2 linked regions of the Alligator mississippiensis genome follow. The protein of the gene in region 1 purifies or fractionates together with the protein of each later gene. This does not show direct contact. Links are inferred from orthologs where the notes say so. Each region holds a gene or a part of one and is shown on either strand. Other genes may lie near its edges. The genes, in order: POLB and LIG3.

Region 1 (7,991 bases):
CATGCCCTGGTGGCACCACCACACTGTTTTCATAGAATCATAGAAGTAGGGTTGGAAGGGACCTTGTAGATCTTCCAGTCTGACCCCCTGCCTGGAGTTTTACAGCAAGGAGCCCAGTCTTGCCTCCAGGACCCAAAGGGTTTCTTGCAGTATTTACTGAACAGCAACAGGTTCTTCTTTTCTCATCCCTCCAAGAGAAATCCAACGCAGATTGTGTTGCTAACACCAACCTCAAGAGCACCTGCCAGGCACCATGGGCAACGTAGTGTCCCATATGACCCGTCACGGCACCAGAAGAGCTGCCGCAGCTCTCCAGGACCACCCGGGTGCCTGGGCCAGCAGCAGGAGGCGGGTTCCAGGTACACTGGACCCAGCAGCAGACAGACAAACAGCTGCACAAGGCTGCTGAGGATCAGAGTCGGACCAATCAGCACACAGAAGAGGGCACACACCCACCATGCCCTGGCAGCCAATCAGAATGTGAACAAGGAAAAGGAGCACCTTGGCCCACCTCCTCCAGCAGAGGCCAATCAGAGCAAAGATGGGTGGAATGGCCCTGACCCCGCCCATGCGGCCAGTCCACCCAATCACCTCACGCCTCAAATTGACCAATGGAAACGCGAGACTGCGATCCAGGCCCTGCTGCGATCCATGTTCGTGAATCGTGTGTCTGCCCTGAGCAGCGCGATCCCTGTCCGGTCCCAGCTCCATGGCTCTGAGCCACTTTCTCTCTCTCTCTCCGCCCTCGTCTCCTGGCCCCAAGGTCCTGTCTGTGCCACAGGACGGCAGCACTGGGCAGGTTCTTATTTCTCTGGCAGCATTTCCTGGCTACCCTGCCCAGTGCAAAGCTCAGGATTGTGGCACTGGCCGGGTTTTGCCAGGATCTCCAGGCCCCAAAGCCCGGTGAGAACCATGCCTAGGCAGCACTGAGCTATTTCCCTTATCTGCCCTTCTCTCCTGGCTGCAATGCACAGGGTGAGGCACTGGAGGGCAGCACTGAGGGTTTTTTAATACTACATGTATGCATAAGGTGCCACTTGCATATCTATTAACTGCACATATTAATATATACTAGATGCCCAGTGCAGCGTTGCTTGCATGAAAATCCAATGAGCCAATTTTTGCTTGAGATCATATTTTATTGCACTTCAACAGCTTCACAACACTTCCGCATACATAAAATCCTCAAACATATGACACTTCCTTACTGTAAGAGATTTACAACACTTCTGTACACACAACATTCCTGGTTTGTTACTCGAGTCAGCAGTCACTTCAAATCGAATGATTTCTGGGTGGGAGATTCTGGAAGCAGCCACATATAGTTGTCCATGAGTGAAGACAAGATCCAGAAGGAACACTCCTACTCTTTTTAATGTTTGCCCTAAGGCTTTATTGATGGTCATGCTGAATGCCACCTGCACAGGGAACTGTAGACGTGTCCACATGAATGGAAAGGTGTCGTCAGACAGCTTCAGTGCTACCCGAGGAATTAGTACTGTTCTTTCTGATCCAACAATTTTTGCCTCATGTAGTCTGCTGTTGATGATGGATTGCACCAACAGCCACGTTCCACTGCACAGACCTTAGGGGCAAGGTTTCGCAGAAGCATGATGAGCATCCCAGGCTTAAGGTGGAGCTGATGTGGAGGCAAACCTGACACCTCCATGGAATTCAGGTACTCAGTTGGCACAGCCATAACACGTTCATCCTCTGAAAGAGCACCTGCGCTTATACAAATCCATTCTTGGCCTGGAAATTTTGCCCCAGTAGCACTGATGATCTCCTGTACAATGGAATAATGCGGTGCCAAAATAGCTCTTTCAGATGTCCATCCTGGATTTTGATAGTTATCCAATAGATTTGGAAATGTCCATTCTATCTTTGCTGAGCGTATTTTGCACTTCGTGCATCAAAACCTTCCTTACATAGTTGCATGTTCTCACCAAGTTGGAAAACCTGGAAGTGGCTCCACAACTCAGATCACTTGAAGCATGCCTCTACTATTTGTAGCCTTGAGGCATTTTTCACAACAGGCAGGATTTGCTGAATATCATCCCCAAACACTATATCACCTTGCCACTAAAAGGTAAATTGGTCTGCAGTAAATCTCACAGCATCCGATCTAGTCTCCAGCATGTACCGATGAGCCATTGGTGCTTCATCACAGATGATGATAGGTGCTTCTCGAATCAGCTCAGCAAAGTCAGACTGGGCTGATATGCTGCAGGTGCTGGTTTTCAACACGTTCAGGGGTACCCTGAACCTTCGGTGCACAGTCCTGCCTCCCGTAAGCACGGTAGCAGCAATTCCACTGGATGCCACAGCCGATGCAATCTTCCCTTCCCAGTGCACTGCTGAAACAATCGTGTAGAAGCAGAATGTTTTTCCTGTACCACCAGGTGCATCAACAAATGCACAAAGTGGCTTTTGATTCTTCACTGCTTTCAAGATTGCACCTACCATTTGTCACTAAGCTGGAAGCATACATGGCAGTGAATCTTGAGCAATTTGGCGTTGCTCCTGCCGGTTATAGTACGGCTCCTCAGCTAATGCATTTGACATACATTTGCAGGGCTATGCCCTGCTATTATGTTCAGTACCGTAACAGCCTGAAGGGTAACGCTGCATGCAAGCCTAGCTGGCAGGCAGCGCCTCACCTACACAAACACATCAGTGAACTCGGTTCTCTCACCCAACTCCCTCTCCGAACAATTTCATCTATCGCAGTGAGGCTTCTTACTTACTAGGGCTGTGCGAGGATTTGGACAGAGCTTCGGATCCAGAAAACTTCGGATGCTTCGGGGTCGGAATCAGCACATCCAGGTCGAAGCGCTGGCCTCCTTAGGCTTCCCAAAGCGGTTTGGAACTACCGAAGAGCTTCAGAGCCGCCTCGGAGATCTGGCCGTAGGGTATAATGGGGAAACAATAAAATATAATTTTGTTGGGTTTTGTCCGATTTGGATGAGATTTTCCTGGGTGGTAGACTCCGCAGAGAGGATGAAGCCTGCCGAGTTTCAAGATCAGTGTAGGGGTTTGGCAGTAACAGCACCCCAAATTCTTGAAAACAAAACTCATGTCACATGTAGGCGTTACAACATAGCGGGGTGAAAACTGCAGGGGTGGTAGCTCTTACTGAGGCCACAAAGCTTGCCAAGTTTCAAGAACGGTGCAGGGGTTTGGGGGGGAACTGTCACCCCGCTGTGCCTTAATACACGCAGTGTCACCCGTGGCACGAGTTTTGCTTGTCGGCAGCTTGAGGTGCACTTCCCCCCAAACCCCTGCACCAATCTCCTTGAAACTTGGCCGGCTTTGTGGCCTCAGTAAGAGCTACCAGCCCTGCAGTTTTCACCCCCCTGTGGTGTGACATACAGTCGCGACATGAGTTTGGCTTTCAAGAATTTGGGGTACAGTTCCCCTCAAACCGCTGCACCGATATTCTTGAAACTTGGCAGGTTTCACGCTCTCATCAGAGGCTACCATCCCTGCAAGTTTCATCCAGATTGGACAAGAAACAACAAAGTTATAGATATTTCACTGATTCCTCATTATACCCTATGGCCGGATCTCCGAGGCAGCTCCAAAATTTCAGAGCCGCTTTGGCTGGATCGAGGCGGAAACCCAGTCCAGCACTCCAGATTGGATCACGGCCATCTGAAGCAGCCGGATCGGATCACTGCCGACTCGTACAGCCCTAATACTTACTAACGGAGACGGCACGCAGTCGACGTAACATTATAGATTGAGACCCAACTGTAGTGATATTTGAATACCTAAAGCGCTGTTATTTTAGAGAGAGAACGAGACTGCAGTTGGACCACTGTTTATTCTGGCAGGTAGTGTGTTCTACGCACACCCCGTTATTAGATGCATACCTGCGCAGTTTCAAATTCGTCGAGGCCTGTATACAAAGAATAACACTGTCACATCAACCTCTACTCTGAACAGTTTCCTATTTTACAACAAGGACCCCCAGCTCTCCCCTAGAACCGAACTGAAGTGACGTCTTGCAGTGCTTCCCGAACAGCGGGGGAGGCTTTCCTTGTAAAAAAGGGAAATTCCGTTCAAATGTGGGTAGCAAGGCACCGGATAGGCAGATTCGAGCAAAGGACCCGCTCTCCCGTCCCTGGCCCGCACCCTGCCAGCCGAATGGGGCTGCTGGGCATCGGAGTCGGACCAATCGCCACACAAGAGGATCCCAACAGCCAATCAGACTGCGGAGCAGCGGGACTGTCTCCTGGACCCCCCCCCCCCGGCAAGTCACAGCGAGGACTAGCGGCATGGCCCTGACCACGCCCACGCAGCCCTCCCCGCCAATCGTCACGCGCCTCCTGGCAGCCAATCGAAACGCGCGCTTGGCATCCCGGCTCTCGGGTCAACCCGATACGCTTCATTAGATTAGACCAGCCCCGGGAGTTGGCGAAACTCTTCCGTGCGAGTTTTGGGGCGCTCTTCCTGCGCATCTGCGGCTGCCCCCACAAAAGCTTGCAAGGCACGTCCCCCCACCCGCCCAAAAAGCACTCAGGCGGTCGAATAAAGGATGCCACACGTACCCGCAGACACCTGTGCGCACACATCCTCGCCACACACGTCCCTGCATCGCTCCTCAGGGGAAGTGCGGCACTGCCCCTTCACCCCCACCCCCCAACTGCTCTGCAGCAAGGACGACAAGCTCCCCTAGAACCGCACCTTTCTCATGTCTTTTTCTTTTGAAACAAAGAGACACCTCAGTTTTTACAAGCAAACGGCCCCGGCACACGGCGGTTGGAGCGCCGTTTGCCCACATGCTGCGCATGTCCCTCAAGGATGGGGCGCATTCGCACTGCTCCCCGGCGCGGGTTCTACTGAGCATGCGCCTGCCGCCGCGCATGCGTAGAGCGAGGCAGGAGGCTCGGCGGAGTGCGCAGGTGCGCGCCGGGCGCTCCGCGCGGACCGGGCTGCGGCCGGGGCCATGAGCAAGCGCAAGGCGCCGCGGGAGGGGCCCAACGAGGGCATCACCGACTTCCTCACCGGTGCGCGGGGCGGGGCAGGGTCGGGTGGGAGGGCGCGGGGCCGGGCGGCGCCGTGACGGTGCCGCTCGGTCCCGCAGAGCTGGCCAACTACGAGCGCAACGTGAGCCGCGCCGTGCACAAGTACAACGCGTACCGGTGAGTGCGGCCGGGCCGGGCTGGACCGGGGTGGGGTGGGCTGCGGGGGCCGGGCCGCTCCCCAGCAATCTGCTTCCCTGCAGGAAGGCGGCCTCCGCCATCGCCAAGTACCCCAGCAAGATCCGCAGTGGCGCCGAGGCCAAGAAACTGGTAGGTGTCTGCGCCCTGGGGCGGCCGCCCCACCTGCCGTGCTCGCGCGCTGCACAAAGACCCATACCTGCGCGTGCCCCTCGCCTGTGCTGCGCTCTTTGGTGCCTCTTCGCTCCAGGCGCGCTGCAGCGGCTGATGGTCATATCGCAACTCCCGCTGCCTGGCACCGCTGGGAGGCTTTGACGCCTGCCGGACCCTTCTGTCGCCCGCCACCACTAAAATCAAAACAGGCCTTCTTTCCTTCCCCCTGCCCCTTGCTTTGCAGGAAGGAGTCGGGGCCAAAATAGCGGAGAAGATAGATGAGTTTTTAGCCACTGGAAAGCTACGCAAGCTGGAAAAGGTCAGCCCTTTTGGTTTATTCTGTCTGACGCTTATTTTCTCTCCTCCGCCCCTGGAGAGAACGAGACTAGGAAGGGAATGGGTAAAAAGAGCAGGCAGAGAGAACCTAGCGTCCCTGGGACCACCATGGGGTGTGATCAGCTTTTACTGCCACCAAATGCGTGAGGCATTTGTCTGACGTAGACGCTTCCTGCGATACCTTTGTCACCCTAGTCCTGAGATGAAATGAACCAGGCAACTGCTTTGTTCCAGACTTGGGCTGTCCCAAATCTTCCAGTGCACTTAAAACCTAATTCCATCTATCCATGTATGTAGTAATGCACATTATGAAGCCTGAGAGTTTGCCAAATAATAAAATATTATAAGGCTAAGTATTTTGCCAGTACAGGGCACAGCAAAAATTAACAACCTATTGCCCTTCTTCCCCTGTACCAAACTAAAACTGTTGTCAGATTTTCCATCTCTAGCTAAGGCTTTACACAGTCCCCCAATTTTTGATAAATTCATTGTCAAGCCCAAGAAGGAAGTATATTCTGACATAAGGGCTCTCCCCTCTGAACACTGTGTTGAGGTCCCTTCCATGTAGATCTGAGTGAACTGCAGCACGCTTGTAGGTAATGTTGTCTTTTTGCTCTGAACTGTAACAAACCTTGAGTGCAGTAACTTGCTGAGGTACCTTGGCTTACCATGGCCTTGCAAGTGAATGAGAAATATCTGTCTGTAGATCCGACAAGATGACACAAGCTCTTCTATCAATTTCCTGACCCGAGTTAGTGGCATTGGGTAAGGATTTTTTCCTTGTGTACTTCTTTCTGTATGTTTTATGGAACTGACCTACCCATATGAAATGGTTCATATCCAGGATATCCTTTTCCCATGAGTTTCTTAGCTAGCATAGGTAAAATGTTAACTCCTAGAGAGCCACCTGCTTTTGGAAGCACAGCATTGCAGACAGGCATTATGTGCCAAAATCTGACTGAGGGGTGGTTTCGATACTGGCTTGGGCGGACACAGAGGCAAACAGCAAGCTCAGGCATGCTGCATCAGTCTCGCATATGCTGTGTGTGCTTTGCTGTCCTCTCTCTCTTCAGTCCTGCGGCTGCCAGGAAGTTTGTGGATGAAGGAATTAAGACACTAGAAGGTGAGTCTGTACTACGCATCTCCCTGATTGCGTGGTAGATACTTTGGAAAGACCTGCAATTTATGATGTGAACAACCTGCCCTCTGCAGAGTGATAAGTGATAGCAACAGCGTGGCTAGAGAGAGACATTCGGATGCTTAAGTCGGTACATAGAAGATGCGCTCTGCATATGTAGTATCAAGGGGGAGATAATACATTCGTGCAGGGGGTCACGCTAGGTGGTCCAAGAGGTCCCTTCCAGCCCCAACAATTCTGTGAAGTTTTCCAAGCAATGCACCCAGGCCTGAAATCTTGTTTGAGAGGCCAGGGCAGTGCATGTACCAACCAACCTGCTTCAGGAACCAGGTAAGTCTGAGACCAGTCAGGCAGACAGGTGACTTGAGCACCCCTTTTGCTTCAGCAAGTGCAGCGCAGGGTGTGGTAATGCAAAGATGGGTCAGGGTGCCTTAGGAAGTGCCTTACTTAAGGCTGATGGCTTAAGCTGCTGACATTTAGCAGCTTTGTACTTGCCAGGATGTGTTGTTTTGAGGAGTAGAGCTGTGTCCCCAATCCATGCCCTTGCAGGGAAGAGGGGTATTTCAGGGCACATAAGAGCGAAGGAGCTCTGAGCCAGGAGAGAACTGTCTCTGAAGCTAGCTTCGTGCTTCCCTCCATGTACTGCTGCTGGGGGTGAGGGGGCTGCCATGGCTTGTTAACACAATGCAGAATCTTATCCTTTACGTCGCTCTCTAAAGCTGCTATTCTTTAAACAATCTCTAAATGAACCTCCCTTACCATGCAGCTTTCTGTTTCCTCAAGTACTTTCCTTTGCAAGTGATCTTTGTGTCCGGCTTCTTCTAGATCTAAGGAAAAATGAACACAAGCTGAACCATCATCAGCGAATTGGGCTAAAGTAAGCATCATTTCTTGGACATAGTTGCTTGCCTTCCATATACACATCCCAAGGCCAGTTTCTTCTTTTAAGCAGCAGTGGCTATCTACCACAAAAATCCCCAGTTCCTGCCTCTTCCCAGCTTTAATTTGTGTTGTATGCAAAGGATAGCAAGGGCAACTTCTAAGGAGCATGAGACCAGCCGAGGGAATCCTGCAGTCATTAGTCTGCCACTGTCTATACCGTTGCGGGGGGGCAACTTGAACAATAGGAAGGCAAGATTTAAAAATAGATCGTGCATAGCTACCATTCTAATAGCTTCCTGCTATACAAAACACTTATC
Region 2 (8,043 bases), on another chromosome or scaffold:
TTAAAGTAAACTGAAAGCCAGAAATTCACAGCTTGTCATTTAAAAAACACTGCAGTGTTTAGGGTGGCATCAACCCAGATTACGTTCATTCTTTGCATTACCATTTCCTTGTTCTTAGAGGATACATTACTAAGCCCTGGTGTACATTTTTTCCTCTTTGAAAAGGCAGGTAGACACACATTTTGTTTCTATGGAAGAGTGAGGCCTGGTCCAAAGAGTTCCCTGTTAAGATTAGATTTGATTTGACCCAGTGACTCTTCTGGACACAGAGTTGAAGGAATCAAAGGCTGCAGCAGCACTATGATACTGGATCCTAAAATTATTACTCATCTATAAATGCATTTTACATGAGCTAGAGACTATTCAAAATTCAAGATAAGTAAGATTTCCAAGCTATGCCTACTTTGCATCCAATACACACAAGTTACAGCTTCCAGGGGTTGGATTAGCCATTCATAAAAGGCCACCTATGGTAGCAACTCTCTTCACAGCACTCCATAATGAAGTTCCTCCTCTCCAATTCCCAGAAGTTTTTACCCTTGGAGCCGATTTATTCTAGGCTATCAGCCAACTGAATTCTTAAGCAGGAGAATGTTTGTAGCTAGAATTGTCAGGAAGCAGTATTCATCTCATCTCAGAGACAGTTTGGGACAAAGAGGGCAGGACAGTTAGCATGTAGGTTTTTAAAAAAGTTTTTAAGAAACACTTCTGGATTCATTCAATTTAGTGAATAGGTTAAGGTTAGGAGCGAAGCCATTAGTGACTATCTTAAAATGTAATTTAATATTCAGGTTCAGGAAGTGAGAGACAGAAGATAAACTATATAGGTCTCCTCTCTCCCCAGCTTGAGTTCTGAAAAGCAAGGCTGCTTTTGAGTGGGAGATTTACATTTCAGACTTCTTAGCTGCTTTAATAATCCCTCTAAGGATGCCTGAGAAAGAAAGAAAGAAAAAAAGATATCCTGATTTAGATAAGCCCATTAGATCTACTCTAAAGGGAATTCTCTACTCAGAAGTCCCTGGTTCTTCAGCACTCACATTTAAAGTAATTTCTCCTATACTTTTTCCATTTTTTAAAGAAGGAAAGTCTGCAGAGAGCTTTGCTGCTAAGAAGAACAAGAACATAAGCCTCTCTTCCCCTCCCCCCCCCCCGGACAGTAAAGCAGCAACTGTGGTACCTGTGATTTTTTATAGCAGGGCAAGGCAAGTTAACTGGGTTTAATCTGCAGCAGCTGAGGTGCTCCAAGCCCCAGTTAACATCTGCTCAGAATGGCCTTAATGACCTTGTCTTAGAGAGAGCCTGCAGCCAGTCTGGGGTTTTCCAGAAAAAGCAGGTGCCTTGGTTAATAATGCTTGATGATAAGGATGGAGACTCTTTTTACTTTAGTTTTAAATAAAGTTATTTCAACACACACACTGCTTCTATCATGAGTATTTATTACAGGCAAATCCCACAAGTATTTATATAGCTGTTGTTAAATTACACTCTGTGGATTTAAAATAGCTTTAAAAATGTGCACGCATAAATTAGCTGCCTTCTCTTTGCAAAACTGCAAGCTCAGCTATGAGAAAGGAATCCTTCAAAGAATACATGAGAGAAGAGGAAGCACTTCATTACAAAGAAGGGGTAGTCTAATTCTGAACTGACAAGACAGAGGGGTGTGATGGGAAAGATGACATTACTGTAGGGCAGACTGATAGCATTATTATAGATACCTAACACTTTGAGTTATAAGACCTTGCTTTCAATTGCATATAGTTTTGCAACATTTTAGTTATTTCAGCTGAAATTTCCCATGATGGATACCTGCCTCAGGAGTCATTTATTGGTCAGTGTGCTTTTGAAAAAAGACTTGAAACAATTCTAACTGAGGAGTTTTTCGGCCATCAAAGGAGTCAAATGTTAAGGAAGGGTGGAGTCACAGAGGTTGTCTGGTTTCAGTGGTCTTTTAAGGAAGGAAGAAATATTGAGAAGATGGCAAAAGGGTCAGCTGGGAAAGAATCCCACTATAGTTGTGATATTGTTAGTAGAAGAGGCTAATAAGAGTTCCATGTTAAAGTGCAGAAGTAGACCTTGGAAACAATGGAGCACAGTGTTTAGGACCAGGAAGGGGAATTTGTTGTCTGTCTCTACCTTTGCTTTCTAAGAATTCTCTCTGGCCTTAGAATGCTACTAGGAAGCTACGCGTTCCCCAGCTGGAGGGACAACTGGCCTTGAGCTCTTTATCAGGCCCTTTGCTAATTTGGAACCAGATGGTGTTGTGGTGGCCACTGATTCACAGGTATGTATGCAGAACACCTGTACTGATGCTGGCTGGTAGGAACAGGCTGCCATATCCTGTGTACACTCTCCATGAGTGGCATATGGCAGGGAATGGGATTCCCAGGACAAGGAACACTCCCCCCCTGCTTTTCATAGCTTCATGGACAGTAAGCTGGTCCTAGACAGCCAGTCTCTTTAATCCACTAATGCAGCCTCCCCACTTCTCTCCTTCCCCCATCTGCATTATCAACTGCCTGTTTCCAATAAACTTGCCCAGTTGTAGAGTTGAGCCATGAATTTCAGATTCTGCTCCAAGCCCCCCTGAGTCTGAGTATACTCAGACCCAGGGCAAGGTCCAAGCCCAACTTCTATCCATTTCTTCACTTCTTCATGGAGAAGCCTCTGTCACTCAATATCCCATTTTGCAGAGGAGCGTCATGATGTGTACTCACTCCTCTCATCCTAGGCATCAGGGGATTCAGAAGCAGGCACTAAGTAGGATTTTCAGATGTTCCTGAATGTCTAACTTGCTTTGAAATTAACAGGTGACTTGTCAAAGGTCACCGAGTAAATCAGTGACAGACCTGAGACTAGAGCTTGGATCATTCGCCCAAGCTTTACCACTGAATCACAAAGGATTAGACTGGTTGCCCCTTTACTCTAGTAGGTTACAGTTGCTGATATGAACACCTTTACTGACTTCGGCAGGATTATTCTTATGAGCAGCTGTTCTCCAGTGGATCTCACAGTCTGACCCAACAGGCTTTTCTATCACTAGCTTCTAATTAGACTCAGTTTATATTATATTTTTAGCATCTTATCCCCATAAGTGGAATAAGTGGAACTGGCCCTGAGAGGGAATTGTAGTCCCTAGGTCATAAATGCTTTCAAGAAATGTAGTTACGTGATCAATGCTGAGGATGGATTAATACTTATTCTGTAGCCTTTGGGAGCCATACAAGTCATGGCTCACACACACAGGCTTTTCCTTATCCCCATATGAAGTCACACATGCTCTAGGGAAGGTACAAAGAGAAGGGACTCATTCAGCCTTGAAAGGAGAGACAAAGATCCAAATAATATGAAGCATGTGCTAGGGAGATTTTTTTATTAGGATGGCAACTCTCCAGCTCTGGGCCTGCAGATCTCCCCGTAGCAGACCACATCAGTGGGGTTATTACAGCCCAGTAATGACTACAACTCTCGCAGCAAATTCAGTCCTTTAGGATAAGAGCTCTTTTGCTGGATGTTAGCCAAGACCTACCCTTACTTTTGTTTCTGATCAATCCATGTTAATGGATATGAACCAAGTCAAAGCAACCCTTGCCTATGAGTTCTTACTGGATAATATTCACTGCCAGGTAGAGGATCTATGAGCTACTTATACTGCATTTAAGCGAGACTTTAAATGAGACTGAAGTGGCAGCCTTGAGTTAGGCCCCCTCTGCTGGTGGCAAATTCCACCTATGCAGGCCTGATCATGAAAACAGATCAGGGGCCATTCAAACACAAACCATTTCTACTATCAGAGCGGGAGGACACTTGGAAACCATTGTTCACCTTGAACAATGGTGAATCTCTTTCAGACTGAATTTATACACATCTCTTGTCCCATGCCTTGATGATTAAGGCTGCAATAGACTTTCCATTCTAAAACTGTATTGACAAATAGTTTCCCTGCATGTGCAAATAGATGAGCAATACTGAGCATCACCATGCATTACCTAAGCAGCATTATTCTACTTTTCTCCAAATCATTCTGTAATCCTCTCCATTTCTCTTATCTCTTTTGTTTTGTCTTGCCCCTGCTCAGTATCTTCTTCAGCAGCTACAGAGAAGAAACACTTGTTTACGGTATGGCAGCTATTAAAGGTCTCACTTCATTTGAACGCAGGGTGATTTGGGACATTTTCTCAGTACCAAGAAAACTGAATTCGTTCGAACATCATTGCTCTGAACGAAATCCTGCATCAAGACTATAATTTCTGTCCGAAGTCTAACACTCGAGGCTATTCCGGGGACAGGCAGCTTGTTTCTCCTGTGTATCATCCTCATAAATACTTCAGAAATGTGGCAAATGCTTCAGTCTGCTTTAATGTACGGAAAGAAAATACGGAGCCACAACACAATGTCCTCAGGCCGAGCCCCTGGCGCCGACTGCACCGGGCACCCGCTGAGACGAGCGGGTCAGTCGCACCAGACGGAGGCTTCGGGCCACGTGGCCGGACGGGGCCTGCCCTCGCCGCGGGCGTCACAACGGGCGGGGGGGGGCCGCCCGCGCTGGGGGCGGGCCTTGAGGCGAGGGCCCTCCGGGGCGCGTCAGGGGAGGGGCGGGGCGTGGTGAACCGCCAATCCCGGCAGCCCCAGCTCCTCGGGCCCGCGTGCGCAGGCGCGGTGCCCCGTGCTCTTGAGCCCCAGGAGTCGCAACCGGCGGGGTGACGCGCTTTGCAGGAAGGGGATCGTGCTTGAGGCGAGGGCGGGATCTGTCGCCTCCGTGCCGCGTCAGGGGAGGGGGCGGGGCGGGGCGGGGCATGGAGAACCGCCAATCCCGGCTGCCCCAGCTCCTCGGGCCCGCGTGCGCATGCGCGGTGGCCCGCGATCTCGAGTCCCGGATTTAAACGGGTCGCGGGGGCGGTGACGACGCCAGCCCGGGGCGGGGCCGAGTGCGGCCTGTGAGGCCCCGTCGCTCGTAGAGCCGGGCCCGGCCGCACATGCCCGCGGCTCTCCGGCGGCTTTTCGTGCAGGTCGCTGGGGCGCTGCGCCGCGCGGCGGGACCTCGCCTCCCCCAGGGCCGCGTCTTGCTGCCGAGCCGCCCCTGGGCCCGCCCGCGTCCCTGGCGCCCGGGCCTGCCAACGAGCAGCCCCCCGCGCGCCGGCCGGCCCGCCCCGCGCGCTTGGCTGTGCTCGGCGCCCGAGGCCATGGCGGAGCAGCGGTACTGCGTGGACTACGCCAAGCGCGGCACGGCCGGTTGCAAGAAGTGCAAGGAGAAGATCCTGAAGGGCATGGTCCGCATTGGGAAGGTTGTGCCCAACCCCTTCACCGAGTCGGGCGGCGACATGAAGGAGTGGTACCACGTGAAGTGCATATTCGAGAAGCTGGAGCGGGCTCGTGCCACCACCAAGAAGATAGAGGACATCACAGACCTCGAGGGGTGGGAGGAGCTGCAAGATGCCGAGAAAGACCTCATCAACCAGCTTATCTCGGGTGAGAGCCCCTGTGCCCCTTCCCCCGCCCCCTGCATCTTGAGGCAGGGACAGAAAACAAAGTTACAGCAAGGGAGAAGAGGCAGGGGCACTCGCACGCATGCGCAAGGTGACCTGTCATCTGCCCCTCGTTAGGGCACTGGGAGCCACTGCTGGTTTCTGGTCCCAGCTCTGCTGTGTCGTGCTGTGCGACCCTTGGCCAATCCCCATAACTTTGTGCTTATTTCTCTGTAGAAACGCCTTCCTAAAGGGCGGGATGTTTTGTAGCTCAGAAACAAGCTGCTTATTGTCAAGCATTGTGACTTGTTAAGTCTTATTGAATACTGTGGGGCTGTCACTGATTGTGGATCTCAACACTTCATCTCTTACAGAGGCCACATCCAAGTCTGCAAGCACACCTAAGAAGAAGGCAACAGTCCAGGCTAAGCTGTCCCCCAGTGGGCAGATAACCTCCCCCAAGAAAGATCCAGGAGCTGTTCCTAATCCATCTCCAAAGAAATTCTCTGGTTTCACAGGTCGGAGTTGGTATATAGATGCTGGGAGAAGCTTTTATTTCTCACATAGCATTCATATTTCTGGCGTTTCAAGCTGAGTCTCACACCAGTAGCTTTCATCTAGAAACTAGAAGATTGTTTAGTACAAACTACATTTCATATTTAGTTTGAGGAAAATGTTAAGTATTTTCTCAGCTGTCAGGTGTTTGCATTATTCTGGTTGTGTGAACAGGGATAAAACCAACCAAATATTCTACTCAGAAAGTGTAAGGGGACTACAAAAAATGTTTGACTGTCTCATCTGAAATCAGCAGAAACCTGCTCCTTTTAGCCTCAGTGGAAAATCTCTCATTGTCGTTAACAGGAGCAGGACAGGAGTTTCCCCTCTCTCTGTGGGGTATGAATAGTGAAGGTATCTGGAAAGCTAATATGGAACTGGCAAGCTGTTTTTTGTGACTTGTGTTGATTACGTTACCCCTTTGAAGGGCCGCTAGGTTTTGAAATGATGTGCCCTTTTATGCTAAAAGAGAGGCAGAAATAAAGCAGATAAAACACCTGAGCTTTTCTAATATATTTTAGCACTTCAGTTTGTTAAACTAAAGCCACCACCTTCCAAAACTGCAACTATTGTCCTCCTGGTGTGACTGTACTGTATAACCAGATACCTGAATATATTGAAGTTTGTAAAATGTAGGCTGTTACACAGCCTTTCTTTGCTTGTTAAAACTAAGATAACCCTTTATTTCTAAATGTACTTTTTTTTTTTGCATTGGAAAAACTGCTTCTGACAGCTACTCGAGAATCCAACTCAAATGGGGTATTCTTTTACAAGAAACAAGCCTCTCCGATAAATTGATCATTTGCCAAGTTAGTTCTTGAGCTTCATAAGAAACTGTGATGCAGCTGATTTAGCTCACTGAATTACAGATTTGCAGAAGGCAGGGCAGGGTAGCATCTTGGGGCTCCTATACACATGTACAGAGCCTGCTCTGGTGTGCTGGAAATCCAGCATGTAATCAAGTCTGCTGGAGCATGCAAATTGATGTGCTCCAGCAGCCTCACACGTCATGTGTATCAGTGTCGTCATGCATCTCCGCACTGACAAAATGCCAGTGGTGTGCTTTCAAATAAGCCCCATCTGATGAGCTTTAGTTCAAAGTGCCCTGTTGCCGTTTTTTCAGTGTGGCAATGCTGATACGCAGGATGCGTGGGCTCTTTTAATTAGCGCAGCTTGCTAATCAAAGCACCCATCCAGGAATGCACGTAAAAATGTCTTTGGAGACTCAGACGCTGGTCCTACGAAAGCTCAGTTAGAGCTGACTCCCCTGACAAAGTCACTGATTGTATATTGAACCCTCTGTCTTCAGTACTTGTGTAAAAGGATGCCCACCAGTCAGATAAGCTGTTTTTATATAATTGTAATAGAATATATTTTATCCACATGCAGTCTAAAATTAAATCGTCTCATCAAGTCATCCCATCTTTGGATGACTTGATCCTACTGTACATAAGATGTCCAGATCCTGCATAAGGTTGACAAGACAGGTTCCATCTTCCTGGTGAGAGCAGGTATCTTTGGAAGTTGATTGGAAAAAAAAACAAATAATGGTTAAGTGGACAGTTATAAGAAAACCTGTGCCTTTGTCAAGCCTTTTCCACCCACTGAAGATTGCCTTCATGGTTGCAGATATTGGGGAAATCTGCTGCAAGTCCAGAAAGTAAAATAAAATCATCACTCGCCACAGTTTCTTCGCATCAAGATTTAAACCATTGAAGTAGGTAGATTTAAGCTCCAGAAAATTCTTCTGTGCTCTGAAGGGAAAAGACTTATTAAAGTAGCATAAATTTTGTTTTAAATGCTGATTCAGATTTTGATCATAAATTCTCAAATATTGCTGTGCATTTCATTCATATTTGAAGCTTTGCCAGTTTGTTAGTATTGTTCTTGCTTTCCACTTGCGTGGACAATGGTGCCCGTCTCTTCAAAGTGTGAATCATATCATTCCAGCCTACATCTTAAAAATTTAAATAGTATGTCTTTCTCTTGCAGCTAAACCAGGCAGTTCTGGGGACACCCCTGCCAA

Evidence for each region.
Region 2: the proteins of POLB (region 1) and LIG3 purify together in Homo sapiens (affinity purification with mass spectrometry; 3 studies listed by BioGRID and IntAct, counting the BioPlex papers as one, with this or other methods). This does not show direct contact. The link is inferred for Alligator mississippiensis from reciprocal best matches to the Homo sapiens genes POLB and LIG3.

What each region holds. Positions count from the first base shown.
Region 1 is NC_081830.1:17,181,726-17,189,716, forward strand, and holds the start of POLB (DNA polymerase beta), read left to right. Parts: upstream 1-4,886; 5' UTR 4,887-4,951; coding exon 4,952-5,012; intron 5,013-5,089; coding exon 5,090-5,147; intron 5,148-5,230; coding exon 5,231-5,297; intron 5,298-5,562; coding exon 5,563-5,637; intron 5,638-6,360; coding exon 6,361-6,419; intron 6,420-6,727; coding exon 6,728-6,777; intron 6,778-7,617; coding exon 7,618-7,669; intron 7,670-7,991.
Region 2 is NC_081837.1:26,293,457-26,301,499, forward strand, and holds the start of LIG3 (DNA ligase 3), read left to right. Parts: upstream 1-4,913; 5' UTR 4,914-4,973; coding exon 4,974-5,466; intron 5,467-5,836; coding exon 5,837-5,980; intron 5,981-8,009; coding exon 8,010-8,043. UniProt on the Homo sapiens protein: Isoform 3 functions as a heterodimer with DNA-repair protein XRCC1 in the nucleus and can correct defective DNA strand-break repair and sister chromatid exchange following treatment with ionizing radiation and alkylating agents.